Linked DNA regions of Lepisosteus oculatus. The protein of the gene in region 1 binds, or shares a complex with, the protein of each later gene. Links are inferred from orthologs where the notes say so. Each region holds a gene or a part of one and is shown on either strand. Other genes may lie near its edges.

Region 1 (15,485 bases):
TAACAGAATCCACATCACAAACGTTTTAAACAGTGTTCAAGCAGTATTCATCCATCCTCATGACCTCTGTATCCAGTACAGAGTCCCAGGGGAGCTGGGGCTTATCCCAGCAAGGCAGGGTACACCCTGGATGGGACACCAGTCCGTCGCAGGACACACACAGGTACAGACTCCCGTCAGTTTTCCCACAAGCCCCCTAAACCCTCCCAGCATGTCTTTGGACTGCGGGAGGAAACTGGAGCTCCCGAAGGAAACACCATACAAACTCCACACAGACGGCACCCCCGGTCTGGAATCGAACCCGGGGCCCCAGCACTGCGAGGCAGCAATGCTGACAACTGCACCACCATGCTGGTCAGCAGTGAACACCTGCAACCTTAACTCTTCATGGGAAGGAAGCTGTGAGAATAAACGCAGCGCTAACACTCCCATGACATCAGCGCCTGTGAGGCCGGCTGGGAGCTACGCCATTAGTTCTGGTTAAGGACACACTGAGCACTGCGATCACAGCTCGGGACGGCCCCCTTGCTTCCACCTGCGGGACGGCGACATTTAGAGAAACATCAGAGTCTCACTTTGTTCCCAGAAGCCCGTGGTAGTAGGCAAAATAGACCAAGGAGTTGTCATTCATCTCGTAACTGGACATCCCGTTTCCAACGGCAATTCCCTGGGAAAGACAAGACCGCTGGTTAGAATCTCCCTTTTCTCTCCGCGTCCTTACGCTGCCTGAGGGACTGTTCCCAATACCTAGGTCTTTGTCCATCCGCCCCCCTGAGTTTTGGGAGGACACGCCCCCAGTGGCTGGACACGCCTCCAAAGTTGAGAGGACACGCCCCCAGTGGGTGGACACGCCTCCAAAGTTGAGAGGACACGCCTCCAGTGGGTGGACACGCCTCCTGGTTGAGAGGACATGCCCCCGGTGGGTGGACACGCCCTGATATTTGAGAGAAGACGCCCCCTGGGATTTGAGAGGACACACACACCCCAATGGGTGGACATGCCCCCAGAGTTTTGAAAGGACACGTCCCCCCACCCCCGAGTTCTGATAGGACATGCCCCCATTGGGAGGACACATCCCCAGGGTTTTGAGAGGACAAGCCCCGAGTGGGATGACACGCCCCTATATTTTGAGAGAGCACTCCCCCAGTGGGTGGATACGCCCATGGGCAGGAGCACACAGGGGTTTCCTGAGAGTTCTCTCGGGCTGGCGGTCCATAGAAAGTTGGGTATAAACAAAACTGGCAGCTCAAAATTTCAGAGTAATAACGACATAAATAAAACTGAAAAGTACAAAGAACATTAACAGTGTGTATAATATGCAGGTTCAAACAATCACAACTTTGGGGGGTCTCTGCCCATCAGCCACCTGCAGGTTAATGCTGCTGTCCTCCATCACCCTCTCGGCCAGCGTAGGCACGTAGATCCCGCCGTAGCTCTCTCCCGTGATGAAGAACTGGTTCTTGCTGTACTCTGGGAAGAGGTGGAAAAACTCCTTCAGGGCCAGGTAGTTGTTGAGGGAGACCTGCGGAGAGGAGCGGACAGCCATCTGAGCTCACGGTGCCGATCGGGACTGACAACGCGCCTCGGCTGCAACGGCATCTCCATCAGGACCTACTGAGGCACGTGCGTGCGCCTCTCCGCCCATCAGTGTCGATCGCTGGATCGACGCCCAGCTACTGCATAAGCGTAAAGGAACAGGCAGCGGTATATTCCACTCTTAAAAAACAAAGATGAAAAAACAAAACGTGAGCCACAGCTGAAGCAATTTTTTTTTAACGTTCTTGCCTCCTTTCAATTTTAAACAAGCAAAATATATATTCCAATCACTCGCTGCAGAATGAATTACAGTCCGTGCTAGCAGGGTATTCGTTAAAACCTCAGACTGGGGCTAAACGTGTCTGCAAAGGAACGGGTAAAGGTTGATTCCATGCTGAACGGTACCCATACCTGTTCCTTTGCAGCCTATGTATTCTGACAGCTCCCTAGGCGAGCTCCTCTAAACAGGTCCGCTCCAGCAGTGCCTGTTCTAGAGCCCACACACCTCCCAGCTTCTTCTTCCCACTCCACGGTGCCTGTGGGGCTGGAGAGCCGACGCATCTCCCCTCTCGAACCTCGGCATGTTTGCGGACGGAGCAAAAAAACACCCGAGCGGTCAAGCTCTCGGTGTCCGGTCTGTGTCCGCAGCAGGACGTGTGCAAAACCCCACGGCGCTGGGAAACGGCGGCGCCAGGACACGGGCTCCGTCCCCCCCGCTGACTCACCTCCGTGTCGTTGGTGACGTAGTCCTTGTCATCCGAGTAGGAGAAGCCCACCCCTGCTGGAGACTCCAGGTACAGCATGTTGGCTATCTGCGGACGACAGGCACGCCCGTGAACTCCCAGGTCCCACACCCTTCCCTCTGGAAATCTTCCACGCCCCACATCTCAAAAAGCTGTTTAATTTTTCATCTCAGATTGTCTTTCCATGAATCATTCATTTGAACGCACTTCTGACTCGCCATTTGCATGCCGCTCTGGGCACAGGGTGGTATTTCTCGGGGCGCAGACCCAGATGTGTCAGTCGCTCCTGTTGCTCAATATCAAGACCGCACAGTAGCTAGGATGTCAGCTGGCTCTCCGACAGCAGTCGGCGCTCGTGAGCTCGTGTGGACAGGTCTGCCAGGTGCTGGGAAAACGACGCGTAACTTTACTCCAGATGTAGCAGGTGAGGGAAGCTCACGGCTGTCCTCACGTTTGCTCATCTTTCAGACTATCGCAGGAAGGGCAATCCCTCGACCACTTGCTTTTTCACTTCGTTTTGACACAGAAAAAGAGGTGAATGTGAATGTATTTGTTAATTTGTTGACGTGTGTGACTTCTCCTATAAAAAAAAAAACTCTCAAGTAACGACTGTTCCACTTCCTCCTTTAATCGGGAAAGGAACCACAAAGCAGGGCGCCGGGATAATGCTCAGACCCGATCGGAAACCGGAACCGGTTTAGAAACCCGAGCAGAACCGGGGAGCGTACCGTGTTCCAGGAGTAGGGGTTGTACTTCAGAGAGGCGCCGTCATCTTGGATCTGCAGCAGGAACAGACGTGAATCACAAACAGGCCTTCATTCGCCCCCGCGCCCAGATCTTTCAACACGGCTGGCAGGGAGCGCTGCCCAAGGCCACACGCAGACCTGGCGAAGGAATCAGGCAGACCCCGCCGCCCACTGGATTTGGTTTTTCCCGGGAACCTCCCCAGAACGCGGGAAAACGTGCGCGCCCTCCCGGATCTTTCCCAGGGCCGTGCGGGCAGGCGCTCTTACCAGGAACGGCCCGTGCTCGGTGAGCAGCCCATCCAGGGAGCTGCACCCCGGTCCCCCGTTCAGCCACAGAACCACGGGGCTGCCAGCCGGGTCCTTCTGGGACTCCAGAAACCTGCAGGAGAGGGGCAGGGGCCGGGTCACGACATTCCCTGGCGACAAGACAGCAGAGAGCTCGGACAGGGAGGAAAGCGAGAAGTAGCACACAGGCGGGACAGGCGATATGCAAAGACAGGCTCTCTTTTCGAGAGGGTATGAGACGCTGCAGCACAGGGAGGGGCACACACTCAGCTTTAAGGGCCCAAGTCCATTCTGTGAGCCGGATTATTGTGTTCTGAAATAGCAACTCTCTCTTTACCAGCATCGGATTGTTCCTGTCTTGTTACTGGAAAGGTAGGTAGCACCTTCTGATGGCATTCAGAGCAGTGATGCCTGTGAAGTCGAGCCGAACAGAAGGCCCTCTCACGCAGGAGTCTCAGGAAAAAGGGAAGTGGGATTGGAAGGAATACAGAGCAAGCGGTTTCAATTCCTGCTCCAGACACCGCATGGCCTGGGGCCCCCGAGCTGCAGCTGCGCACCCTGCAGCAGGTCTGTGAATGTTTATTCCCATGAGCTCAGCTCACCTCATGCTGCACAACACAGGAGGCACAGAACCCACCTGGCAGCAGAGGGCTGATTGCCGGTGTACGTCTGAGCAACTGCTCCTGACCTTCATGGAATTAACCTGACGTGTCCATGTGGGCTCGCTGGCATGGCCAGCAATGGACAGGCACCCTGTGCTTCCAGATCCCTGGGGTCCTAACCAGGAATGAGGGGGTTCCCGATCCCGGGAGAATCCCGTGACGCGCCCTGGGAACTACTGGAAACTGAGGGCCCCCTCACCTGGGCCGCCTGACTTCTCCTGGAAACCAAGTCACCAGCTCCAGGGATCCCCCCTGGGAATTTCCCACGCTCGCTTCCCAGAATCAGCAGGGAGCAGGAAGGGCAGTGAGCTGGAAAGATCAGGGGTTGGGACCACACTCACCAGTAGTGCAGGTGCTTACTGCCGGACACGTTCAGGTAGCCAGAGTACTGCCTGAAGCCGGGCTGCTTCTCCAGGCCCGGGAGGTACTTGATCTCGTCCGCGTCCGGAGCCCCCTGGACCCTCAGCACTCCCAGCAGCAGCAGCGGCAGCAGCGCTCGGTCCATCCCTGAGCGGCACAGGGACAGAGGGGGGCGTTACAGACACACACACACACACACCGCCTGCCCCAGGGATACTGCCCGGCCCTGTCTGGAAGGGAAGTGTCTCAAGACGGCTCCATAGCCTCAACATTGCGTTTCTTTTCTTCTCCTTCCAGCGGGGAAGAAACCTTAACTTTCCAGCCCACGCGTGCTGACGCAGCTGCCTACTTGGACTACTAAAGAGAATGAGCTCCTGTAGCCCGTGGGAGACCAGGCGCGTCCTGCGTGTCCTCATAACGTGTCCGCTTCTGCGCCTTGCCTGGTTTCGCCTTCCCTGTGTGTTTTTTTTTTTTTAAAAGCCCATCGCAATGTCTTTCAATCACGGAAACCAGCGCTATTCGTGGGGGAACCCCCCAGAAATACAGGACAAGGCGGCAGGGGAGCCGGGCAGTCACGCAGAGCTCCTGGAGCAGGGGAAAGGGCAGAGCTCGTTTTTCACTGCCCCTCTGTCAGGCATCAGTCTGAATGTCGTGTGTTGAAAAGTTACAACAACAACAACACAAAAGATCTGTCGCGGCACCCGACCGAAACATCTAAACGTTTCTAAAAAAAAAAACAAGACCTCCTGAATGCCGATTACACGAACAGAAACGAAACTAATAACTACACATCCGTGCACCAACCCCCGCCGCATATTTCTTTCGAGGGCGGTATCTTGAAGCGGCTGCCCAAATTAATTCACAATAAACGACAACGATTTTCACCTCTCCGGGAAGCAGACCGGTATGGAAAGTTCTGCGATTTAAAAACAGTCCCCTCTGTGTGGGGACAACAGAAACACAGTGACGTCCTCCAAAGATGCCACGAAACTTAGCGACTGGCTGAAATACACTCGTACATTTAACACAAGCTGGAAGCCGTCGCTTTCTAAGCGCTGTAACCGAGTACATCACTGTAAACGACAATGATTTCAGCTTTACCTTTTTGTGCTAGTCCGGCTCCTTCCTGAATGCGCTCTGACCGTCGAGCGCCTGACTTGGGGGGTGAGATCATGTGACCCGGCTGATAAGGGACGTCACATGACTGGGGCGTCAGGTGACGAGGGGGGGCGATCAGGATCACGTGACTTCGGGCAGCTCGGTAGCCGTCTGGACGGACGGGGAGCGGAAATGCGTGGAAACGGGATGTTTTCCTGGGGTCGGGGAGGTGTCCTGCGAGGTTGTCCCTGTAGTATTAAAATCCGTGGGTCAAGCACCCCGGCTCTATCCCTGTGTCTTGTGCACGGGGCCTGGGAAGTCCTCCAGCGTTCAGGGAGTCCTGTTATCACTGCCCTCTCCCGGGCCTTTTATGGAGACCTCAAGTCCGCCCCCCCTCCCCCAGTCTCCTCTGTCCCCCACAGCACTCTGCCACCTGTCAGACAGCTGCAGTGACGACGCACAGAGCCCTGCGGCAGGCCTGAAATAGCCAGAGACCCGCTTGAGGCCTGCCGGAGAGGACGCAGTCGGGCCGGCGCTGAGCTGGCGGGAGAGCAGGCCCAGATGGAGGGCTTCGCCGGGCGCTTCCTGGAGTTCCACCCCGTCCACGGCGCCAACGTCCGCCTGGATCAGGCGGGCACCCGGGCCACGCGGGTGGAGAGCTTCGCCGACGGGCTGTGCTTCAGCAGGCGGCCCCTGGCCCCTGGCGAGATCTTCCTGGTGGAGATCGAGGACAAGGAGCTGGGCTGGTGCGGACACCTGAGGGTGGGGCTGACGGCGCACGACCCCGGCGGCCTGGCCGCGGTGCCCGAGTACTCCCTGCCGGACCTGGTGGGCATGGGCGACAGCTGGGTGTTCGCCATCACCCGGAACCACAACAGGGTGGTCGAGGGAGAGGGAGAGGGAGAGGCAGAGGGGGGCAGCTCCCCCAAGAGCTTCTTCACCGACACCCACCTCCACATCGGGGGCGCGCGCATCCCCCGGGACAAGCTGGTGGGCCGCAGCCGCCCGGGCCGGTTCAGCCACATCCTGGACGACCTGTACAAGACCAACACGCTGCCCCCCACGGCCCGCCGGAGCCGCATCGGGGTGCTGTTCGTGCCCAGCGGGCGGGGCGCCGCTGACATGCACATCGTCATCAACGGGGAGGACATGGGCGCCAGCGCCAGGGGCATCCCCGCCCAGCGGCCCCTGTTCGCGGTGGTCGACGTCTTCGCCGCCACCAAGAGCGTGCGCGTGGTGCAGGTGGAGTACGGCTGTGAGTGTGGCCCGCGCGCTCTGTCTGGGGGGGCGTCCAGCAGGCCCAACCGCCTCTCGGTGAATGTCAGCAGGCTTAACCTCCCCACCTTTTTGAAAGCCCCAGAGAATGAAAAAGTGCAAATTAGTCGGTTGGTTTTCATTTGGTTATGCAAAGGACCTGCATGTTTACAAGTCCTGAGTTTTCCTGGTTAGTTTAGCATCTCTGCGACCTGATGTCTCCTCCCCTTTCACGGTGAAATGAGCAAAGACAGGGTTTGCTACAGCTTGCAGAGGCCTGCATGAAACGAGGCCCCTGCAGCAGCGAAGCCAAATCACAGCCTTTCCTGTTGGGTTTTTCTCCCTCTCACTCTCCTGTCTCTCGTCTCAGTCCCCTCTCTGCAGACCCTGTGCCGCCAGACCATTCAGAAGCACATCGTCCACAGGATGGCCCTGGACTGGCTGGAGCTCCCTGAACTCCTCAAGCACTACTGCAAGTACGAGTGACGGAGTCGGGGCGCCAGGGAACGCAGCCGGGGCTGTGCAGAAGGAGGGGCCCCCAAACCCGTGCGACAGCAAGCTCTCGTGTCCCCACTGAGCAGCCAGCAGATACCCCTCTTCCGTTACCCTGGGCGGCCCTCACACAGACAGTAGGGTGCGATCAGAGGAGCCGGTGACAGTCGCTTGGGAAGCATGTTCCTCTCGGGAGGACACGGGCCTTGATTACGGGAATCCTCCCGGAATGGCTTGGGGAAGCTTTATTCCGGAGTTGTCAGCCGTGCTCAGAGTAGGGGGTTTTTGACATTTTTGCCCTGCCCTGCACAGGACCGCCGTTTCTGAAATCATGCTCATGGAGGGTCTTCGTTTTGAACATAAAATCCCAGTCAGCTTCTGCTAATTAATTTATAATGATAGAAATATGGAGAGCTCCCGGTCAGCAGAGCAGACCCCCTGTGTGGAAGAATTGGACTGTTCTGTTCTGTTTCCGGACACTCGGGAACCAGAACCATCATTCAAGCCTGCAGTAAGCTCAACAGCCCACATGTCTTGTTTTGTCTGTCTGCTTTTTAGTGTGGAATTAACCTCAGCTCGTGCCTTATTGCAGCCTTTTCTAGTTGTGCACGAGTCCTGAATGGTATCATAACACTTGGATTTTAAAAGTACTCGGTCTGCGCTGTTGTGGTGACAAGTTTCACATTGTAAGCTTTCAACTGAATCACAACCAAGGAGTCAAGCATCAACAGGTCTGTTTCAAACTGGTTACTTTTGGCAGGAGCACCACATTAAACAATTCTACCTGTATTATCTGTAATAATTTGATACTGTGAAGTACCATGGCCTTCTCTATTGTGTTATTACCTCAGATAATTACGTCTGTCATTGGACTCTGTGTGACACTGAATATTATCAGCAAATGAACTGGGCTAAAGCATTGTTTCTCTATATCACCTGGAGATACTCATCATGATAAAGGCTTTATACGGGGTTTGTTATTAAATTCCACCGTTTAATTTGGTTTGCACAACAAAATAAAGGCATCTACACCATATTTTAATAATGCATTATTATCCATCAGAAAAATCCCTTCTGGCCATGAAAAAATAGCAGGCAAAACTGTTTAACCATTATTTTAATAACCTTAGCTTGTATTCATGTACCCTACAATAATAAATCATTTTGAAAATAGGTTTAAACGCGTTCTTCATTTAATTAAGAAGCACAGCAGTTAAGTTTTTGGTAATTCGGTTACGACAGTTATCAATAAAGTTATTCTCACTCTTTCTACGGACAGACATATTTACAATATCATAATAATGATAAATTCGTATGCTTTGTTGTGTATTTAGGAGCTATAGCCTTCACGCAGAACTGACCCTGCTCAACGTTGCCAAGAGACTGTCTTACGCTACATAGCAACGGCGCGGCGCTAGCGTAAAGCAGGTTGAAACTGTAGTAAATAAGCAAACTGAAAGAAGTGTACTCGCGCTGTAGAGGGAAGCGTTAGGAGATGAGAAGTAGGTCTTTGGTCCGTTTTTGAACATTAATACTACCAAAAACCCAGGGGGAAACGGGCGAATTTACAATTTACGGATTAAAGGTAAGAGCTTATTCTATTAATATGGTTTTTTGAAGCGGCCGGGCTGGTTCATTTGTCTTGTTTCCTTTTAAACCAAAAGTGAAACAGCCGGAACTTTAATATCCAATTTTTTGTAAAAAAAAAAAGATCTCGGGAGGCCATTTCCCTCTTCCCCGTGTAATTTCTGATTTCAGCATCTCATAACTTGACTAGTTCATTCCCCTCGCGTCGCGGCTGGAGGGTCTCGTTGTTCATATTTCTGGCGTCGCCGCCGACGACATTTTAAATGATGAAACCGTTGTTGACGCGTTATTTTATTTATTTAATCCCCCCCCCCAACACCCTTCCCCTATTTCTACGCGAGTCTTTCGGTCTCTGGGGTGAAGCGGGCCACCGAGGCGTCAGGGGCGGGTTCGGGCCCTGTGAGGTGGGGTTGTTCCGCCGCCGGTGAACCCGAGCCCTGAGCCCGGCTCGGCTCTTCTCCGCTCAAAATGGCGGCGGCGGCTTGTCTGCTGGTCGGCTCGTGCGGGCGGGCGAGCGGGGGCGGCGGCGCGAGCGGCTGTCCGTGTGGTGCGCGAGGTGGTGGGGAGGGGGGCGCGCGCGCGCCCGAGAGGGTCCTGATCGTTTCAGAACCCGAGTTTGTTTTATTTCTTCTTTTTTTTTTAACACCTTTTGTTTTCGCGTCTTCGTCAAAGGAATGATGCGGTGTTGTTGTTTTTTTTTGAATGAATGACAGGGACAAGAGGGGTGTATATCTATCTATGTGTGTGTGTGTTGTGCGGGGAAGGACGTAGAGGGTGGTGGTGTTTTTTTTTTCCTCCTAAAATGGAAGTCGCGACCACGACGGCGTTTCTCCGAGAGACTGGGGGGCCTCTTGTTGGCTTCGAGCCCCGGGCAGCGCGTCTTCGGCCGGGGCCTGGACGCGGGTGGTGCAGCCGCGGTTGTTTCCTGGGTGGCGGCCGAGCTTGGCGGCTGCCAGGGCGGGCTGGGGCTGCCCGCCTGCTCGCTCTCTCCCTCCCTCCCTCCGTGCGTCTCCGAGTCCGAGAAAAACAGGGATGAAAATGTTTTTTTTTTTCCCCGTTCTCTCAGCACTCAAAAGGTTTGTTTCTGTCGCGGCGCTTTTCCTCAAGACGGGAGTCTTCCCGGAGGTTTGCAGCCCGGCCGGTGTCGCTAGGGCTGTCGTGGAGAAGCGCCGTGTTGTTGCTTTTTTTTCCCCCGGCGGCACAGTCTCTGCGACCAACAAATAAGCGAATCTTCAGCTGTGAACCGGGCCTGACGCCTTCCCAGTTCAGCCCAGTCAGCAGCCCGTCGGCTTCATGTGTTGGCTTGTGTCAGTCACCGGAATAACGAAGTATAAGCCCGTTTTCTTTTCTGAGGACTCTCGGATCTGTTCCTTCGAAGCTGTGGTGTGTTTTTAAGTAACACGGTTCTTCTGCGGTGCCGAGATGATGTTTGGGGGTTTGGGGAGGCGGTGTGATCCGCGCTGGCCTTGCAGGTGTCGGAAGGGCTGCCGGAGAGTGCTGGTCCGATCTGACCTGTGTGTTAGTCTTGAGGGGGACCGACCTGACCGGACCTGGGCTTTTTGGTTGGGTTTTATCCAGGGTCATTAGGCAGGTATGTGTAACTAGTGTACGAAAAACCGCCATGATTAAGTGAAAGAAAACAATTACCAGAATTAAAAAATCAAGACAAATTCAAATAGTTATTTATTTTAACACGCACCGTTTACAATCCACAATGCCTGGCCTGCAGAAATTAACGCCCTGAAAGCCATGTGTCCCTCTCAAGAATACAACTCACCTGCATTGCATAGCCAACCTTGCAGGGTAACAGCAGTCCTGTAAGTCTGGTGAAGACATGCTGCTTGTTGACAGCATGGCAGTGTACAGGGAGAAACAACACAATGAAATTCCGCCTGTGCTCATTTAGGAGCTCATTTAGAAAAGACATAAACGAAAACCCTCGATTTTGTGGCAGAATACAGAACATTCTAGATCTAGGTGTTTTGTCAACAGGCAGGTTATACCTTTCCCACTTTTAATGCATACCCACTGATTTCATCTTGTGGATATCCAGGCAGGTGTGAAAAGTATGTAAGAAAATGTAGTTTCTCTGCCGTGCGGCTAAGAAGATCTAATAAGTCGCATGTGAATAAATAAGGTTTGTGACTGGAGCAAGACAGCGTGGACAGGTGGTGGGTGTCCGTCTGGTGCCCCTAGTGTGGTGTGAGCTGTAGCCACGCATGTCTGGAAGAGCCTGGCTCTACAGCCCAAGCATGCACGAGGAAATGGTTGTTACTGAAGGGGCTTTATCTGAACATTGTTCCTCAAATCTGTTGGCAAAAGCTGACAAAGCCCCCTGTTTCTACAGCGTGATCAGGAGTGGATATTGGAGGAAAGTGTTGTCAACCACTTAAACCCCCTAAACCACTTTAAAAAAAAATGCTTTAAATTTGACCGGGGAGCTGTACCGAGCAAGGAGGGGTTCGTTTTTTCAGTGTGGAATTAAAATATAAAATATAATTGCACGCTCATAACAAAATCAATCTGGAAGGAGAAATGCAGGGTGTTGGGATTCAGTGTCCTGCAAAAGGGAAACGTTTGCGTTGTCTGAGTCACTTCAGTACCACGAACTGTGCTCAGTAGCACAAGCCCCGAGTTAGTCCCGGCACGAGATGTTGAAAGGTTATTCAGCTCTTTTATCTTTTATTCAGCATTCTGGATTGCATTTTTGCATGTTAAATTTCCCACGCTCCAGCTTTTGTTCGGAAGAGGATACAAGCTCATTCGGCATACTGAAGGAGACCCTGGAAATTATAGTTCTGTGCACGAAGCCGAAAACTGTCACGAATATGTTTTCTCATTCGACGGTGTTGTCTCCTGTGATACAAGATGTGTGTTGGACTGCCGGAATAAACATAAACAGTGGCTATCGGTTAATTTGATATCCTGTGTGTTTTCATTTCGATTTGCATTTCTCTCTTTTCCTGGTTATTTATGGCACAGAAATACATTTTTAAACCTCCCTCCTCCCCCATCTCCTTTGGTGTGTATGTGGACAATACCAAGTGTACCTCTTTCATATTGCTTTCATCTGTGCGAGGAGGAAATGGTCACTGCTGGATATCTTAAGCAATTTTGACGCTTTTATGAGTTTAGCAGAAGGCAAGACTGAAACTTAGTGGGTCTCTTTTTTTTTTTTTCTTTTTTCACGTTGAGGGGTAGAAATTGAGTTGCTCGGATCCGTCGTGGATTTTGGTTTAAATATTTGGAATAGACGTCCCTCCATTTTCCGTGATTTACAAACTGCGAGGAACGGTGCGTCATCTAATTGTGATGTTGAACATGAGTCCAATAAATAAAGATTATTTTTAATATCTTGCTTTCAAAATGTGGTTAATTCGCATCGGTTCACTGTCCTTTTTTTGCCATAATTCGTTTTCCTCGTTTCAGAGAAAAGTACCATCCATACCGTGGTTCTGTTTTCATTTTTGCCTGCTTTCCTTCGCCTTGTGACTTTGTGCTGCGTCCTTCGTCGTTTCCCATCACACCGTTGCGGCACGAGGTGGTGTGTATTTGATCTTGGCGACCGGGCCTGTAAGGTGGCGCTCCAACCGAGAGAACGAAACGGAACCGGGTGAATAAGATAGCGTTTCGTCCCGTGACCGGGTTCCGATCAAGCTCATATTTTCCTCATTCTCGTTCAAGGCGATTTTTCCCCAAAAAAATAAATTAAAAAAAAATTCTGTTGTTATCTCCTTTTGTCGTACTTGGTGGAGAGGCCTGACCTGTGGAATTTTATTCATTTTCTTTCTTCCTTTCCCGTTTTGGCACGCTGATATATTTTAGGACCTGGAGTAGTAGGCGAGTAATATAAGCGCGCGGGACGGGCACAAAAAAGCGGAGAGGCGGACAGGCCCGGCGCTCTGGTCAGCGGAGCGCGGTCGCGCCGGCGGGTAGAGATGTCTCGCAGACGGAGTCGCAGCGGGAGCCCCTCCCACCACACCACCAACAGCAATGACCCGCGGGACCTGGAGAGGAGAATTTTTGTGGGGAATTTGCCCACCACCCTCATGGACAGGAAGGACCTGGAAGACCTGTTCAGGCCCTACGGAAAGATCAACGGTTAGTAGTGTGACGCTACGGTGTCGTTGTATTTTTATTTTATTTTTCCTGTCCCGTCAAAAATCCCGTCTGAACGCGTCTCGGTGTTGTGCGGACCCGACCGCTGCGATGCGGCTTCACCTCGCCAGGCCTGTTGACCACACCCCCCACCCGTAGTGCTCATGAATGGGCCTGCCTTCCTCGGCCCAGCTTTCTAGTGTAAATGTAGATTAAGGGCCGGATACTAAACTTGTATCCTCTCCATCCCACACTTGCTGTAACAGGGCAGCCTGCAAAATATCTTGACTCCGTCAGTCCTAAAATTAAAATACTCATCTCAAATCTTATCATCCCAGACTTAAAAAAAAAAACGTTTTTTTTTTACTGTTTTAATTTAGTATGAACCTTTTAGGATTATAGATCACAAAAAAAGGTTATCTTGTAGCTTCCAGATTGAATCGCATTTTAACAGTGTTAGTTTTTCGTGAATGGTTTGCGAAGACTGATGAGTTAAAAAATAGAGCTAATGCACATTGTCCTACTAGAGACCCTTTCACCCAGTGCCTTGTTCTGCCAGCTGAAACAGCAGTGCTGATCCGGACACAGGAGACAGGCAAATAATTTTGAAGTTTTCCTTTCATTTTCCCACTTTATTTAATTTGTTTTGGAGTTTTGACCTCCACGGCCAACTTCAGACTTGAGAAGTATTTGTCCGTTTCCATGGAGGTGTCTTCAGTGTTGTTAGTCAGAGCAGCCCAAGAACTGTTGCTGTGAATGTAAGATCATCTCGATAAAAGGAGCAAGCAGACTGTGCAGAGCAGTCAAGCCGTTGGTCATAAGACCCAGTTGAGTTAAGGAAACAGGCTATCCAGATAATTCATTTTTTTTGTAAATATATATTTTTGTTTTCTGTTGTAGTCCACTAAGATTAAATAGATTTTGATGCAGTGTTCTGAGAAATATTGAGTCGATAAGTTTTTCAAAATCAGAGCTGACAGTGTCAAGGTTTTATTAATTATTCTGTTCTGTACCAGTTCCAGAGGGCAAAGGATGACTGTGACTGCGAGGAAAGTTCTGCAGCTGAATTGATGTAAACAGTATTTAAGTAAAAGAAATGCATTGCAAACATACAAATATCTGTCCCCTAGCAATTAAACCGAATGTGTGCAAGTAATCAAGAAATATCTGCTGGATTGCCATTTATCAGAAGCACATTGCTGCCATCAAAAAATGTTATTGTGACAGTTCTTGTAAACGCATGATAATCATCACGGAAATATAACTTTTTTTTTGTGAAGTGGTGTACTTCAGTCAGTTTTTTGTATGTGATTTATCATACTGTCAATGTGGAAAGTAAATGAACTTTGTATCTGAGGCTATTTCTTTTTTGTTAAGCTTACTGTGTTAAACTAACCCCATGTAGTCTTTAAGTTTAAAATTAATTCCATTTGTTGTTTGGTCATATGCAATAACAGGCTGGTGTGTGTGTTATACTGGTTGATCTCGCGTTCAGTCTGAAGATTGCCTTGTGTAGTCAACCGTAGGTCGGAAAGTAGCCATATATACCCTGCGTTACAGGGGCATTTTCACAAGCAAAATTTTACATGTTCTAGCTGAGTTTGTCATAAATATAAAGGCCTTTTCAACTTCAGAAGTCAGAATTTACAGTGTGGAGCTTGAAGTAAACATTGCTTGGTGTGTGAATAACTGGAGTAGAATCAAGATCACAAAATGGATGGACCATAACTGCAAGCAAAGCTGAAAGGTGTCCATAGTCAAAAGTAATGCAAAATGTGATCTTGCTTTGTGATCTGTATGAGGATGGATGAAAGAATGAGAATCTCAGCAAATTCCTTAATAAGGCATTTACTACCCTTTTGGCTAAGGTGAGCATTATTGAGTGAGCTGCTTATGTTTTGGACTAGATAAGTTTCAGTACTGTACTTCTGTGCTTCCTCTTGTGTGTTAAAAGTTGCAGATTTGAACCACAGGTACAAAAGTGTGGCAAAAACACACTGCTGGACTACTAATGTAGCAGAGCCCCTTATTCTCCTCTGTCCCCCTGAGAGAGAGTTGTCTTCCTTGTAGCCTGTTCCTGTCAGATCTGGGAAGCTGTTTAAAGCTGGGCCCCTCTTCAGTCCTGGACTGGGAGGCCTCTGAGGTAAACCAGGTTGCAGATGCACCGGGTGGACCAGTAGGTGGCGCAGTATTTTCAAAACAAAGCCAGGATGTGGTGACAGCTGTAGGCGGTACTGTCCTTCAGAGGAGCTGCAAAGCAAAGTTGTGCCTGCTTGGTTATTAAAGATATTAAACACCGTGGGAGTGTTCAGAACAGGACTGCTGCTGGTCCTGGCTGAATTCATGCAGGGTTTGTATAGGTTCTCCTCCCTCCGTTCCCCCTTAATTCCGTGGGTGAAGCAGTCTCTCATTTCTCCACCTGATCTGTGTCCTGGAGCAGCTGCCTTGTGTTCAGTGGGGGTGAAGTGGGTCCCCTTCTCTATGGGAACCATTTTGGGGTGCAAGAGATTATTTAATCCTAACCCCGCAAATGAAGATCCTCCTGAGGGAGAGCTGCAAGTTGTTGTAAGCAGAATAGGAAGCACTTTGTACACTAAATGAGACAAATCTCATTGGTTTTTATA
Region 2 (15,030 bases), on another chromosome or scaffold:
CTCTACCAGCAGAGCGTGAGCCACAGCCAGAGCACGCAGGAGCTCCTGCGCCAGCACCGCGACACGCTGCGCCACGTGGAGGGGAGCCTGGCGGCGAAAAGCATGCTGAACGACGGCCTTTCCTTCGAGAAGCAAAAGGTGAAAGTCCGGGACCTTGGGATTACGTTAGAAAGGATTTTACAGTTACCTCTTAAGATGTGCATGTCTAATGGGGAAAGGTATCGTCTTGTTAAAGTACCCATCTTCCTTTTCTGTATTCTACGTTTTGTAAGATATTGTGATATCTTTGCTCTCCAGCTCTCTGAATTTTCGGACTACGTTGCCATTATTGTAGATAGTAGAAGGGTGATGGAAGTCTTGATCAACTGAGAATAACAATAACATCACCTCGATATCACTAGGTGAAACCATGAAATGAATTGGGTTTCTGTTCTTTTTTTCCCTCGTAATCTCTTAAAAGGAGCTCCAAATGAGCTCTTTGTCAGCTTATAGCCCCGTTGTAGAGTGTTCCTCCTTCTGTTGATCTATCCTCAGATGTACAGTATTACACAGTTGAAATGTCATGCCATCCACAGATTCATGCATTCTATTAATGCTACACATAAAGATGAATTGTTTATGCACCTTGTCTGTGTTTTATTGCAAATGAGAAGTAGAAAGGGAGACCAAAAAGAAATCGTGGTGTTGCTGATTCAACAGCGGATTGATGGCAGCTGACTCCACCAGTCAACCACATGGTGATACTCATATCCCACGATACAGCAGGCTTGATGCTAGTTGGGAAAAGATGTATTGTAGCTACTGTAGGTTTGTCCTCTCTGCTCTTCCGGATAGTCCCTGGCCTTTCAAGACACCAGGGACACTGGAATCATGTCTGTTGTCGGCACTGAAAAACAGGGAATATTGGAAAACATAAATTGGGTTGGTGAATGGTCAATAGTTACAGTATTAGTGGGCAACTACGTGAGACAGTTTGTGCCTTTTTGTGAGGTTTATTGGGCATTATTTAAATATTTTCTGCTTCTTTTATTTGGCCTCCATTCCACTGTACTATGCAATAAATCTGGTGCGATGTGATTTGGCTGCTTGGTTCTGAAACCCTCAAGTGCTGAAATTCCTCCATCGTCTCTTTCCGTTTTCCAGCAGACAGCACAACAAATCACTTGCAGTTATTAAATATACCGCTTTGTGTTTAACTTCTAGAAAATCTGTGATACATCATTTCTGAATAATCTCAGAAACTATGGTAGTTTCATGAAGAAATTAAGCATTTGATTATTGAGCTATTTGTGTGTTTTTGTAAAGGACTGTAAAGATGGATTTTTTAAGAAAGCACATTTGTATTTATGTATTTGGTAAAAGTGTCTATTTGGATAGATATTAGTCCCCAAGGGACAAAGGAGTTACCTGTGCTTTCCACTTTCCTAACTGTTGTAATAAAGGCTTGTGTCCCTTTGCAGCACATAATGTTTGTGAATGAGATGGCGCAGAAGCTGAATGTGGAGGAGGAGATCTCTGGCAAGCCCCTGCAGACTCAGTACAACGTACTGCTGTCCCGCGCAGAGCGGCTGTCCAGTTTGGGCAGCCAGTCCATCAGTGACTGCAGGGAGCTCATCCATACCCTACAGCACAAGGTGGGCGTCCTCACCCTGAACATATGTCAAAAAAACATGTCCAATAGCACTGTATTTTACAAATGGGTTGGCACATGTGTTGGTTAATGAAAGGAGACCTAATCAGGGTATAAAAGGCTTTCTGAGCCTTTCCCACCCCTTTGTGAGTTTCACACTGTATCCATACCAGGTTTCTTCTCAGAAAGAGAAGCTGGACAGAAAGAAGGCAGAGATCGAGAGCCTCCAGCAGAAGCTGAAGCTGAGGGAAGAAGAGAAGGACCTGTCTGCCCTGCTCCTGAGAGAGAAGATGGGGAGCAGAGAGACTGTCCTGCAGCTGGAGAGGAACATAGTGATGCTGCAGGGGCAGCTGAGTGACTTAGAGAGCACCAACCGCAGCCTGCAGGCACAGCTCGCTGAGGCCAGGCTTCTCCAGGTGACTTAGCAAACGAGTTACAGGAACTGAGCAACTGACACATCAGTGTGTTATTACTTTGAACTGCAGGGTCTTGAAACACAAATCTTCTCTACAAATTATCAGGTGCAAAAATCTATTCAGTACTATCCACTACTAATCCGAACAAATCTTATCAGTTCCTATCCACTATATTCCTACTGCATAACTCTAAAGTTGTATTGTGTGCAGTGAATATAGAGAAGGAATGCACTGTTAAAGGTGAATTGTGAATACTGCTTTGTGTAACAGCAAATCGATAGAGCAGACTTTATAACCTGTGCATACCTGACATACTGTATAGGTAGTAGTGTCTTTTCTGTCTCAGTTTTGTTTTTGTGACAAAAGGACACTCTTGGTTCATGTGGTCAACCGACAGCGTTCTCTCACATAGGTGAAGAAGGACGAAAAGACCAGAAACATCGAGGGGCTGAAAAAGTCGCTATCGGAGAGTAGGAGATTGAAAGAGCTGGCAGAGGAGACGGTGGCGTGCGTAAGAGAAGACCTGCAGCAGGAGAGCGAGGAGAGGCAGAGGGCTCAGACCACACTGCAGGCCATGTCCAATGAGCTCCGAATGACGAAGAGAGCCCTGCGTGAGGTGGCCAGGAGAGAGAGAGAGGTGAGACACAAGCCACAAAAGAAACGCTCAGCTGCCTTTACACCAGTACAGACAGACATCTGGAATTATGTTTTCACTTCTTTTGCCACATAACATTTACATAAAATGAAGTTCAGGAATGGACGGTTTGGTTTATTCAGTGTATGAATTGCAGACACCATGATGATTGACTAAAAAGGCTAAACCTTCACACTACAGTATACAGTATATGATTTGGCAGAGGTTCTATATTCTAAAAGTATTGAAGTAAATAAAATCATGGAAATTGCACTCTTGTGTTCATATTTTAGCATTTCAATGCTGCCTAAAACTGAACCAGGGTAGTTAATGACTGAAACCTAGACACTGTCTTTTCTAAAAAAACCCACAGCTGGTGGATTTTAAAGAATGCATCTTGAAGCTGCTGGGTCTGAATGTCAACACCATGGTCGCGCAGGAGAGCGACATTCTGGCTCAGCTGGAGAGGCGTCTGCGAGACTCACAAGGGGGCGACGGGGGCCAGGTGAGGAGAGACAGGCCTCCAGGAGGGACAGCCCCGAGCGACCCCACACCTGGCAGGGCTCAGCCGAAGGCACCGGGCCTGGCCCCCAACCCCAGCGCCACAGTCCAGCACGTCATCTCTGCCAAAGCTGCGCTTCCAGCGAGCGAGTGGTGAATACAAAGCACAGAACGACACCTCCCTCGTTCTGGATGTGCAAAAGTACAGTTCAGCCCTCATTTCAATCACTCAGATGGACAGACTACAGAAGAATGGCTGGCATCAAACACTTGTCCAACAAATGCATTACAGATGCACAGAGACTAACATTTTTATTACCCATCCATTTAGCTTCAGTGTGATTCTAATGCAACTGCAGGTCACTAAGAAGTATGTCTAATTTTAGCTGGTGTGTATTTTCACCCTTAAATAAAGAGTGACAACGAATGCAACATTTAAAGCGAATAGATCTGAGTGAAGGTGTCTACTGTATCTTTAAAAAAATGATTTACATTTAAGATCAGTATACTAATAGTCCCAGTCATATCTATAAGCATATTGCTGGTAATGATAAATCTCTTCCTCCTTTGATCACAAAACTCCTGCTGCAATATTGCAAACCATTGTTGTTTATAAAGGAAAATGGTGAAAGTGGTGAATTACTTCTGAGATAGATGCCTGCCTTTACAAATGTCCAGATACTCTTCACATTCTCCTCCACAGGCTGCGATTATTGAAATTGTAGATACAGTGTGGCAGAAGCCTGTAATTCAGAAATGATTAGGGCAGAATCCTCCGTTTCAACCTGCACATGATGTAATGAAAGACACACCGCATTGCAGATAGCAAATGGAATTCAATTTGCTTTTTGGTTCTGTATCTTCAATGATTAAGGCAAAATGCGTAATTTATGGAACAAATTACTTACCTGAAAGATAAATTATTTCTTGTCTGAATTAAACTGAATGGGAACAGAAGTGAATGTGGAACTAAGAACAGACTGTTACTTTCTTTTGCCATTGTACTGCACAGCTAGGTTCACAAAAATACAATTCCAGTTAACCCAGGTTGAAATACTTGTTCAATTTCTGAATAAAATAAAAAAAAATGGAGATGTCATAATATTTTCAAAGTGGGACCCCATCTGTCCAACGAAATGACTGATATTGAAATACTTAGTTTCATTCTTCCAGCATTAAGTACTGTGATGGAGACAAAACACAAAATAATCCCTAAAAATTGACTAACCTGTGTCTGATGTTACTCACAGCAATTCTGGAAAGATTGGCATCCCTTCATGGGTCACACCACATTTATGCTTACAGTATTACATTCCATGTGTTTATACTGTATGTGTCTGTCATTTTTGTTGTCCGGCTGTTAAAATATACCTTACAAATAAACAGGGAATATTGGGTTCCCTGCTAAGATCCCCCTAAACTTGGCTAATAGAAATGTAGGACATTTATCAAGAATATTGTCTTGCCAGACCTCTAACAGAGGGGGCCTGAGACGAAACAATGCAGTTCTTTCACACTTCATCGGGCTACATGGGCTGTAAATATACAGCCGATAAAGAGCCAAGTCCATCAGTAAAACACCAGAAGAATAAAGCAAAGAGTGAAGAGGGAATCCTCCTCTCAGAGCTCACAGTTCTCCTGGGCATGGCTCCCAAACCACCCAAACAGTTTCAGGTTAGCAAACGGGTTCCGAGTCCCAGGATCCACTGGATTCCTTCTTTTCGGAGTTCCAGATGTTTCCAACAAGTCTATGTATTCTAAGAGCTTCAGTCAAATTACCTGGATCATTTCATTCATCTTCATGTGGTGTTCTCCTTGAATTCTGGCAACATATTTCATTAAAGCCAGTTGTTATATAGTTCTTACCGGGTGTTTTTCTGTATTTCTGGGAGTATTTCTCCCAGATTCGTTTCTCTTTCTATTTGTTTTGAATGGCTAAAATATAAGGTAAAGGAGAACTCTTTAAACCAGGGGTGGCAAATTCCATTTTTAAACTTATTAAAACCTACAGTATATTAGATTAACCCAGCATTAATACATTGAATAACCCACTAGGAATTGATCCCTGAAAATCATTAATATTTTCAGACAAACTTCAGACTGTTGTCTTATATTAATGTTTTGTTTTTCATTTTCTACTTTGTGGGAACTGCTAGGCATTTATAACGAGCATCATGTGCAGAGCCTAACCTAAATCTTATATATTTTCTAAGTCCCTACCACTTCCACATGTTCAACTTTAAGAGCCAAAAAAGACATTCATTTCATATGCAGGTATCAGCCACTAAAAGCAGCCTCTCTCTGAACTAAACACCCAGGAGACCACTTATCCCCCAGGAAATCTAATTCTGCCCTTGGAGAGAAGCTCAAGAGCCAAAGCTTCTTCCTGAACCCGAGATTACTCCAAAAATTGCTGATCAGAAAATAACAAAGCAAAACCAAAAAAAAAATAGAATTAATGAAACATTTACTTCTTTCCTGTTTTCCGGGAAAGAAGAATTTACCTTCTAGCCTTTCTGGGGAGCAGGTTTTTATTTAATGTTTCAGAGAGAGAGAGAGAACAGAGTGCTGCCATCTTTTGGAAGACAACTGTACCAACAAATGGCTTTGACCAAAAATAACTGTACCCTATATCAGACAGACACTATCATTCCTAAAGTAATTTAATAATCTTGTTGTGATTTAAAATCCACTGTCTCTCTGTGAACGAGCTAGCTTTCCTTTTTTCTAAGCAATGCAACATATTTATTCTAAAGACTCACGGGTTGGGCGACTGGTGGCACAGTGGTTTGCATGGGCCCTGGCTGGAGATTGTATTTTCTGCCTGTGTTCATGTGGGTTTCCTCCCACAGTCCAAGGACATGCCTGTAGATTAATGGGTGTGTGTCTCTGTGTGCCCTGAGAGGGACTGGCGTCCCATCCAGGGTGTACCCTGCCTTGCACCCGTTGCTTGCTTAAATAGGCCCTGGCTCCCCTTAGACTCTGAATTGGAAGACGATGTCAGAAAACAGATGGATATCCTGGAGAGACAGTATTTTCCTTCTACTGTTTTTTTCTATACTTGTAACAATCTGAAATGCATAGTGCATTCTCATAGAGCTTGGAATTGTGGATAAAACATAATAATTGAAGACATTCTTGTACTAGGGTATTTTTATATTTGTATCCACAAGGACCGTGAGCACAAGGGAATATAACAGACCCTCCAAACAGTTCAGTTACAGTACAGTATGTGAAAAGTCGCTGGTGTTCACTGCTTTGGCTGGTCTGAGGATCGCTGGAAAAGTTGTTTTTTTTAATGTTGAGGAAGAATATCTTCTAGCTGGTCACATGAAGGCATCTCCTTCGACTGTCTGGAGTGTCAGGAGGGAGTTACTATTGCGAAGAGCATTGCTACTTTTCTCCAAACAAGTGATGAGAACTTGGCCATCTGCACAAGGCAGATCAGTCACTCCATTAACATTGTATCTCTTTCAAAAATAAAAGAAAGGCTTTTATAGATATCGGTCCAGTTCTATAGGAACTCTGTAGAGAATTGGGACATTTCTATTTAAAACTATAAGTCATCTACTGTATATGGTTATTTACATAATGTGGCTGTCTATTTATTAGTGCCAACTCTGAACATATTCTTTTTGCTACATATTCTTTGAGCCCCCTTTGCGCTGTCGCGTGGTTTAGACCTCAGACTGAACACAAACAGCTTTCTATTAAGAGCAAAGCGGAATATGCGTCCCATTCCTCGTTGCAAAAAAGGTCGCAAGTTCAAGGGATGTAGAGGGCGGGTTTTGGAGGGTGTGGGAGACCGTGACGGCAGCGGCCGTCTCTTAAGTGAATGAAGTATTACAGAAAGCAGCAGAGTTACAAGCAAAAAGGGCTGTTTGAGCATCTCGGAGAGAGAGGGAGACTGCGCGCAGCCTGAGCCGCGCAGCTCTGAGTGAGACACGCCGTGAGAATCCTCTCAGCGCTCTCCCGTCTTACCGGTCCTAGGTAGTAGTGCCAGTTAGCGGCTGATATACTTTTTGTTTTACTACGCTGTACAGCTGGACACGGGAGAGCGGGACCTGCTGTTGCTCAAGAAGATACAGTAGTTGTGTACTGTTTCATCCTCCTGCTGAAGGGAATATACCACAGTACAGTGGCCGTTCCTTCAGGTGTGCGAGAAGGCAGGTATGTTCGCTGGCTGCATCTCCGTCACGCACAGAGATTGATTAATCGCCGTTTGTCAGTTTTCAATGGACTCGTACTACGGTTGTGTTTACTTAGTATTTCAGACAGAGTTCAGTCGGTACCAGCATTTTTAACACCGGCAAACATGGCAAGGGAAGTTCTCGTTGAATTGCATTTCAATTGTACTTTAAAAAAAAAAAAGAAAAGCCGTAATATAAATGAGAGAAATATAAATGGTTTACACCTATGCGCAATTCAACCATATACTGTATCTTTTAGGGCTGCCGACTGCGATTCACATGAAGAAATACTGTAGGGTGGTTTTCCTGCTACGATTCACAATATCACAAAATTGAACTTTTCTCGTTTCTTTTAGCTTTGGATATGCTTAGTTGGAGCAAACAAATCCTGTAACCAGTGCAGTGGGTTACTGACTCGTGTGCGTTCTCATTTTTGTTCATATCTTATCTTATATTATGTGTATCTTATGTGATATTCCTTGCGATTTAAGAAAATGAAACATGTGTTGCCCTGTAAGTAGGAAATAAAACAGCTTTATAAATGACGTTCACGATCAGTGTGGCAGAACAAACCGTTATTTATATTAACGAAACCTCCTTGCCGATTCCTCCTGCAGTAGCGAAGTAGTAAAAACTTTAATGTTCTTGTAACTGTACGAGGTTTTTCCGTTATCGATTGGTAATGACGTTGCACACGCGACTAAGTAGCAGTTCACCACCAAGGGCTATCCGTTTTCAGCCCAGTCTCTTCTGAGGCTGAACTGTAAAGTTGTTGCTGTTTCTGACTGGGCTGTTAGAACATGGCAAGATGTTCAACCCGGAGACCGCACGAAAGGGTTGAGAGCAGATTTCTTTTTAATTTATGTAAAAACTCTACACTCCGGGTAGTCAAAAGAAACAGGAAATCGCCCATTTCTGTCATTCCCCCTAACTGTTTTTACAACTGAACCGCTTATTTCGTACAGGAGTTTATTAGTACACTGTTTTAGTCGTTGTGGTCGCTTTCTCTGCTTTTTTAAAGAAACACTTATCGTGTTTCTATTTAGAGTGTTACGGCACTGCTTTGACAGCATTGTTACCCTCTCTTTTTAATTAACCAATTCGTAATGCTAACTCTATGTTACGTTTAGCTCTTTTTTCTCTTTCTTAAAGCAGCAGTTTAAAAGTTGCAGATTATTATTTTTTTAGATCTGGGCCATACACGTTTTATGCTCAGTTGCTTTAAATCAAAGATACATGTTTACTGCGAGGTGTAACAGCCAGCTGCACAGTAATGTGTACAATACCACGGATCAGTGAGTCCTACACCTTTATCGGTTGGAATACAGGTTTTATGATAATTCATCTGGACAACCTGTTATTTCTGAATGCCTCTGCATTCCCAGTGCCTCCCCTTGAGTCAGTGGTATGTAACAGTGCCTGGTTCCTGAACATTTAGTATGTCGGCGAATATTTATTTTTACATTTTAGTTATTTGCCACAACAAAGTTTAACTTTTCCGGTTCCGAAAGAAATAATTCTCGCCGTGAAGTGTGCTCATTTTAGCGGGCGCTGTGAAACAGTCTTCAATGTTTCGCTCACAAAGAGCAGTGAGTTTCCAGTGCTGCTTAAACCTTGGTTTCATTTCCTAGAATGTCTTGCTGTTTGAGTAGAGTAAAATAAGGCGTAGAGTAAAAAAAGGTCTTCGTAAAAAAATGGAACCGTTTAATTCTGTAACTTGTAACAAATTGATTTGGTAGGGAAAACAGCTTTCATTTCCGAGTGTTTTTTTTCTTCAAAAGCACAAAACACTCGACACTCGACACTGGACTTGTCCGAAATTATTGGTTTATTACAGCTTTCCTGCTTTGCAGCGCACTACCTTTTAGAAGCTCATGGATTCAGTGAATTACAAAAGGTGTGGAAATGGTTCTGGACATGGAGTTTGCAGTTTTTGAAATATTAAGAACAAATTAATGCGGTTTTGGAGACGTTTGGTTTTCATACGGCGTACCTCTGCGTGTCCTGAGCAGTTTCCTGTGAAAGCGTGGTGCAGATGGGTGATATGTACTGTAATATCACTTGCAGGCTCCCGGGATGCCCGAATTTGTTTAAATTGGAAGGTCCTTGTCTTTTCCTCTCACCCATGTTTTGTGAAGATAACTATCTACAGGCAAAGTTTCACTTTTTCATTATTATTTCAGTTTATGAAGACGGGGAAACAATGGTTTTGGGGAAAATATGACCCAGGGGTATACACTTTATGTATTGTTTCTGTTCTTTTTTTGAATGTTTCGTCTGTGTGAGTATTTTTTTGTGTCTAATTGATCAAGGACATCATTCACAAGAACTGCATTGTGTCTTCATAATCCACAGCTACAGGTAATGAAACCAAAACGAAGTTCCAACAACTTACACCAATACGTGGGTTATTTAGTAGACGTACTCTATCAGAATCATAAAAATGACACTGGTCAGCAGATCAACTGTTGGGGCTTATGAGAATGATTTATTATCGTTACCATTTCTCTTTTCATCAGATCCGATATAGGCATTGGAGTGTTAGAGGCTGAAACAGGTTTCTGGGAGAGGGACTGAAAACACACAAGTCTCATAATCTGAATACTCTACACCTCCTCCTGAGCATCTCACATAAATTAGAACTGTGGTTCCCCACCCTGGTTCTGGATGAACACTTTGTCTTCTGGTTTTTGCTCCAGTCCATATTCTTAGTCACAGGTTAATGAGAATTACAGGAGTCTGCTTTCTGAAATTAAAGGTCAAATCGGATTTGGAACTGAAATCAACCATGTTCCCATTTCTGAGTTGCAGGGACTGCCCTACAGTACATTCAGGGATGTTGCTTGAAATATCACAAAAAGAACCTCTGCGGGAGAAAATGCTCATTGTGGCGTGACAGATGCTGTCTCATTCTGACATGTGGGTGTGTCTGATACAGTGCCATTCCCACATATGGGCACATCTGATACAGTGTTATTCCTACCTGTGGGCGTGTCAGATACTGTGTCATTCCTGCCTGTGGGCGTGTCAGACTGACTGAAGGAACAAGTTAAATAAAAATGTAAACAAGCAAGAAGCTTAATGAAATCAAGAATTTGCATTTGAGGTGTAAAGCTCAGCTAGACAAAAAAAACAGTGGACACAAGGTTCCTCTAACAGTGCAATCCTCCATCGGTTTAAAGGTTGATGATTTTGATTCTCAGTTACAGAAGCACAAGCACAGTGCCATACAACACTGATAGAGTTAAGCGCTCATAACCACAGTTTTGAAAACAAAGTCCTTTAAACACTGATTAACTGTGAAAAGATTTTTCAACATTGCGTAGCTGCATTTTGAAGGTTAGCCCTGGTCATGTATTCACACCCTTTAGTACTGGTAGTAAATCCTTATTCCAGATGTATCAGCTCTGATGAGGAGTAAAATTTCTCAGCGTAGTTGCAGGAGACATGTGCCTTATATGAGTATGAAACGTATGCGGAATACTGAAACGTATTCCAAGAAGTCACATTTTTTCCACGTCAGTTTTCCCATATCCCTGTTCACTTACTTCGCAGCTAAAAACTAAGCATTGATTTCCCTCCTAGGATACCTGGCCTGTTGTCAGGTGTTTATATGGTTGTGTGACCACTATTTTAAAAGGTAGCTAGATGGCAGCATGGTTTGCTGGAGAAACTGGTCTCTTCAAGAAGCTCTGAACAAACAGATCCTCCCATAAATTGATAATTGAAGGAAAAACAGCCTAAGTCTCTTGTATATAATAATGCAGGGTTTTATTGTCTCGGCTATAGTGAAAACAATCAGAAGGGAGGTGATTTTTACTGGGTTTGTTTTTTTTGATGATGAGCCCGCTAATCAAATATTTATATGCACTCCTTTCAGATAATATGGAGTTAAAGTCCATACATTAATAAAAAACACTGATGAATCTGTGTCAAGCAAACATCACTGGGTTTTGCAAAAAAATCACCATGGGAAGGCTTACATTGAGTAATAAGTTGTCATTATTATTTCAGGGATAATTTACTGCAGCACCACAAACTAAACGCTTCAAATGCATGTTGTTCCTTTTAAGAACACAAACGTTTAAACCGTGTTGTCTGATTAACAGACTTGGCACGGGCCTTCAACCCGTGCAGTGTAGCTGGCATTACTGGGGCAGGTTTCTGTGGAAGGCTGCCAGAGTCTGCATTCAAAAAGCCCAACACATGCTCCCTCTGTCCAAAGAACAGGGCAGTCGGGCATGTTTCCTCCACTCCCTGCTTTTTCTTTCTTTTTCTCAAGAGCAGCAGGAAAGCTAACGCTTGGAATGAAGTTCAGTTGGGTTCAACACGGAAACGTAAGTGCTCTATTGTGGAACTATTGCTTTTAGTGCAAAATCTTAATGTTCCAGTTCTTTCAGCATCTTTACATCTACAAGTAAATCCTAAAGAGCCTCATTCATGTTTTTTACCTGTACTTTATCTTAAAACTGTATGTGAGAGTGTAGTTTAAAATTATAAGCCAATGGAAAACTAACTTACGTGACCTATTGTATTTATAGCACAGCTCTCTTTGTCTTTAAAGGTTATGTGGAGTAAGAACTCCATTCTCTGAGAATACAGTGTTTTGATGCCACTATGTATTTAAGATCTTGAGCTAACATACTTAAGACATTTAATTAAAACCATTCTAAACTTAATCCTTGGGAAAAAAACACTCAAAAAGGCATGAGTAAAATTTGAGAGGCTAAAATTAAGAAGGTGTACTATTAAAATGACTGATCTGAAAGGTCACAATGCGGGCTGTATTTTGCAGGGGTTCGCAGTTCTGCATTGTGTTCACGGAATACAGTCGTCTATAAAGAGCAATTTCTCCTAAACGTGATGACGAGTGGTAGAGGTCGAAGAGCTAAAGGCTCCAGTCTATGTTTTGTCCACCCGCTGTTCTTGGATAATGCCTTAAGGTTGTGGTTTTGCTTGTGATCGCAAAGATAAACTTCTTGCACTCTGTTATACACAGGCAGAGCCCAGACAGACTATGGACCTTGGCAGTCTGGTATGTAATTAGAGCCATCCTGATCCGAGCTCACGCCTCAGGTCAATAGACCTGTGGACCCAACTCTGAGAAGGCAGCCCCAACACCAGGGTGACAAGGTTGCGACATTTAATAGAGTTCTATTCAGTTGATGGTAGTTTAATGGAAAGGCTTCACGGATGTGAGAACTGTAAGAGATTCTGATCCTTTGATTAGACTACCCTGGATTTCAGTTTAAAACTGCAAGGTGTCATCAAGCTAGTCTAAAGAAAAAGACAATTATTTTAATTTGCCAGTGCATCAGGGCTTTCCCATTGGGAAAACAAAATAGATTTTCAGCCATTACTGTATGTTTATTCTTTTATTTTCACTGGTCCGTTTTCTTGGTATTTATACAGTGTGTATAACATTCATTTTTACAATTACACATTTTTGTGCTCTAACTATTTATTGTGTTGTCCCTTCCTACTGTTTCAGACATGCACATTCAAGTCATTTAGATAAATGGCACAATGACAGGAGACATTTCGCTCCACAGAGCATGTTGGTATTTATTTCTGTGTCATCCCATAGACAACATGAGTTGTACTGGAAGTAACACCAATTACCCGCCACCAAGTGTTAAAATCACACTGGAACTCTTTCACCCAACCCCAAACGGAATAAGTTAGAGAAACTAGAGCACCTGGAGTGAACACAGGGAGAACAGCAAGCTCCACACAAACAGGTTCTCTGAGCTAGAATTGAACTCAGAAACCTGAATCTGTGAGGCACTTATCCTAACCACCGCGTTTCCTAACTTTTTTCTTGTAATGTCAGTTAAAAAAAAAATGTTAAAGCTTGCCTGTATTGGCAGAGAAGCTGCACTGCAATTCCAGAGTATTGTGCTCTGCATTAATATTTCCTGCTTACGGTCTCCCTACTCAGACTGACTGAGGGTGCCAAGATACAGCACATGGCCTTTAAGCCAGGAAAGGGGCTGAGCCAACAGTAGAGAAGTCACAGACTCCTTAGACCACATGGATCGGAAAGCAGAATTCTTGAAGGCAGTGGCTTTGTCTTGGTCTCAATGGATTTGCTTGTCTAAATAGAACAGCCTTTTTCCCATGATTGTGATGATATCCAGGTGAAAGCTCAGGTTCAAGCTGACCTTGGAGATCACTGTTCCATGGAGGTTGTGATCAGGAAAGCAGGTGTATGGCTTTCTTCGGTATGGTGCCACACTGCAGAAAATCAGTCAAGCAGCAGAATCATACATGATGCTTTCCAACACCCGCTCAGACAGTTGATCCTGACTGTCCCCATATGGAGGCAATGTGCATTGTAAAGTGAAGCAGAATTTTAATGGAACCCAGAGTAAATTGAATATAATTATTTCTGACCCCTGAACAACCTGAGAATGAAAACATCAAAAGGCAGAGAAAACCCTAAAAAAAACAACAACTAACATCGAAATGTTAGCTTTTTATATATATATTTTTTCATAGTTAACATACTTATTACTTCTGGTCTGGCCAAATTTGAGAGAAAGAAAGTGTGAGATGGAGACCTCTGTTGTCAAGCTTATTTAAAATGGTAATTGTCCTTCTGAAAAGCCAGATTACTTAAATGAAGTGTTATAGTGAAAACATCACCTTCAGATGCCCTGCTTATTTTAGAACTTTTATCTGTTTAGTTTTGAGAAACCACCATTTGGGGCAGAAACTGGCCTCAGATTGGTGCCTCTGGTGCCTCTGGTCCTAATATTCACTACTCTACATTGCTAGAAATCTGAAGATTGGGTTCTTCCTGCACAGCCACACAGTAAAGCATTTTCTCTGAAAGTTTAAGATTTTCAAAAAATATATTTTTGTTAGCATTTATTTTATACAGTATATATACTGTAAGTAGTTCAGGTGGGTAGCTGCGTCAGCATGCGTAGGCTGCAAAGGAACAAGTAATAGGTTTATTCCATGCTGAAAAAAAGAAGCATCTTCTTTTTTTCAGCATGGAATAAACCTATTACTTGTTCCTTATATACTGTAAGTATGCATCCTGTGTTGTTTCAGGGTTAAAAGAATCAACACTGAGTGTTTCTATTACTGACAAAATTGCCCAGTAGAGTTTGACAATGATTAATCTGATCATGACAACGATCTTATTTTTCTTCTGAAATGTTTGAGATTAACATAATAAGATTGTGTATTTGCATTCAATGGTGATCTGACAAACGTGTGTTTGCAGGTCTTCAGCACAGAATGTACAGAGGCCCTTTAATTAGAGTCAGGGAAGAGCTTTTAACTTTTATGGCTTCATTGTGCAATAATTGTGTTGGCAACACTGTGTATTTGTGGTTAAAAAAAGTTGGAGTTGCTTTTCCACGAACTTTCCATAATGGATACGCTGGTTGAATTGATGTCTGAAATGTCAGTAGTTGTAAATAATTTTATGAGACACATGAACCAGAACAACAAACAAGAAAAAAAACAGCCAGAAGCCTAACAGGTTATAAGATCTGCGAGTGGTTTAAAAATGGAAAAAGGAAATGACTAACATATGCTGTATATATATGGTATACATGAGCATTAGCAGTTTTTCAAATAGATCTGAAGAAAGATTCCAAAATAATCAAAGATATTATTCCCTTAATTCTTGAATATTGCACA

Evidence for each region.
Region 2: the proteins of ncoa5 (region 1) and estrogen receptor beta are in contact, whole or in part, in a crystal structure (PDB 4ZI1), measured with the Homo sapiens proteins. The link is inferred for Lepisosteus oculatus from reciprocal best matches to the Homo sapiens genes NCOA5 and ESR2. Residues at the interface, in NP_066018.1 of Homo sapiens: Ser344, Leu345, Ile346, Leu348, Leu349, Ala350, Asp351; in NP_001428.1 of Homo sapiens: Ile310, Lys314, Phe319, Leu324, Gln327, Val328, Leu331, Glu332, Leu490, Glu493, Met494.

What each region holds. Positions count from the first base shown.
Region 1 is NC_090711.1:2,263,663-2,279,147, reverse strand, and holds the start of ncoa5 (nuclear receptor coactivator 5), read left to right. Parts: upstream 1-8,489; 5' UTR 8,490-8,761; intron 8,762-8,787; exon of another isoform or gene 8,788-9,319; intron 9,320-12,588; 5' UTR 12,589-12,701; coding exon 12,702-12,864; intron 12,865-15,485. Other genes in the region: ctsa (lysosomal protective protein), read right to left, coding at 576-667, 1,367-1,522, 2,262-2,348, 3,008-3,058, 3,293-3,404, 4,314-4,479, 5,434-5,506; neurl2 (neuralized-like protein 2), read left to right, coding at 5,992-6,685, 7,055-7,170. UniProt on the Homo sapiens protein: Nuclear receptor coregulator that can have both coactivator and corepressor functions.
Region 2 is NC_090703.1:7,976,176-7,991,205, reverse strand, and holds the start of estrogen receptor beta, read left to right. Parts: upstream 1-7,043; 5' UTR 7,044-7,351; intron 7,352-11,443; exon of another isoform or gene 11,444-11,708; intron 11,709-15,030. Other genes in the region: coiled-coil domain-containing protein 170-like, read left to right, coding at 1-138, 1,461-1,634, 1,804-2,046, 2,459-2,683, 3,054-3,338.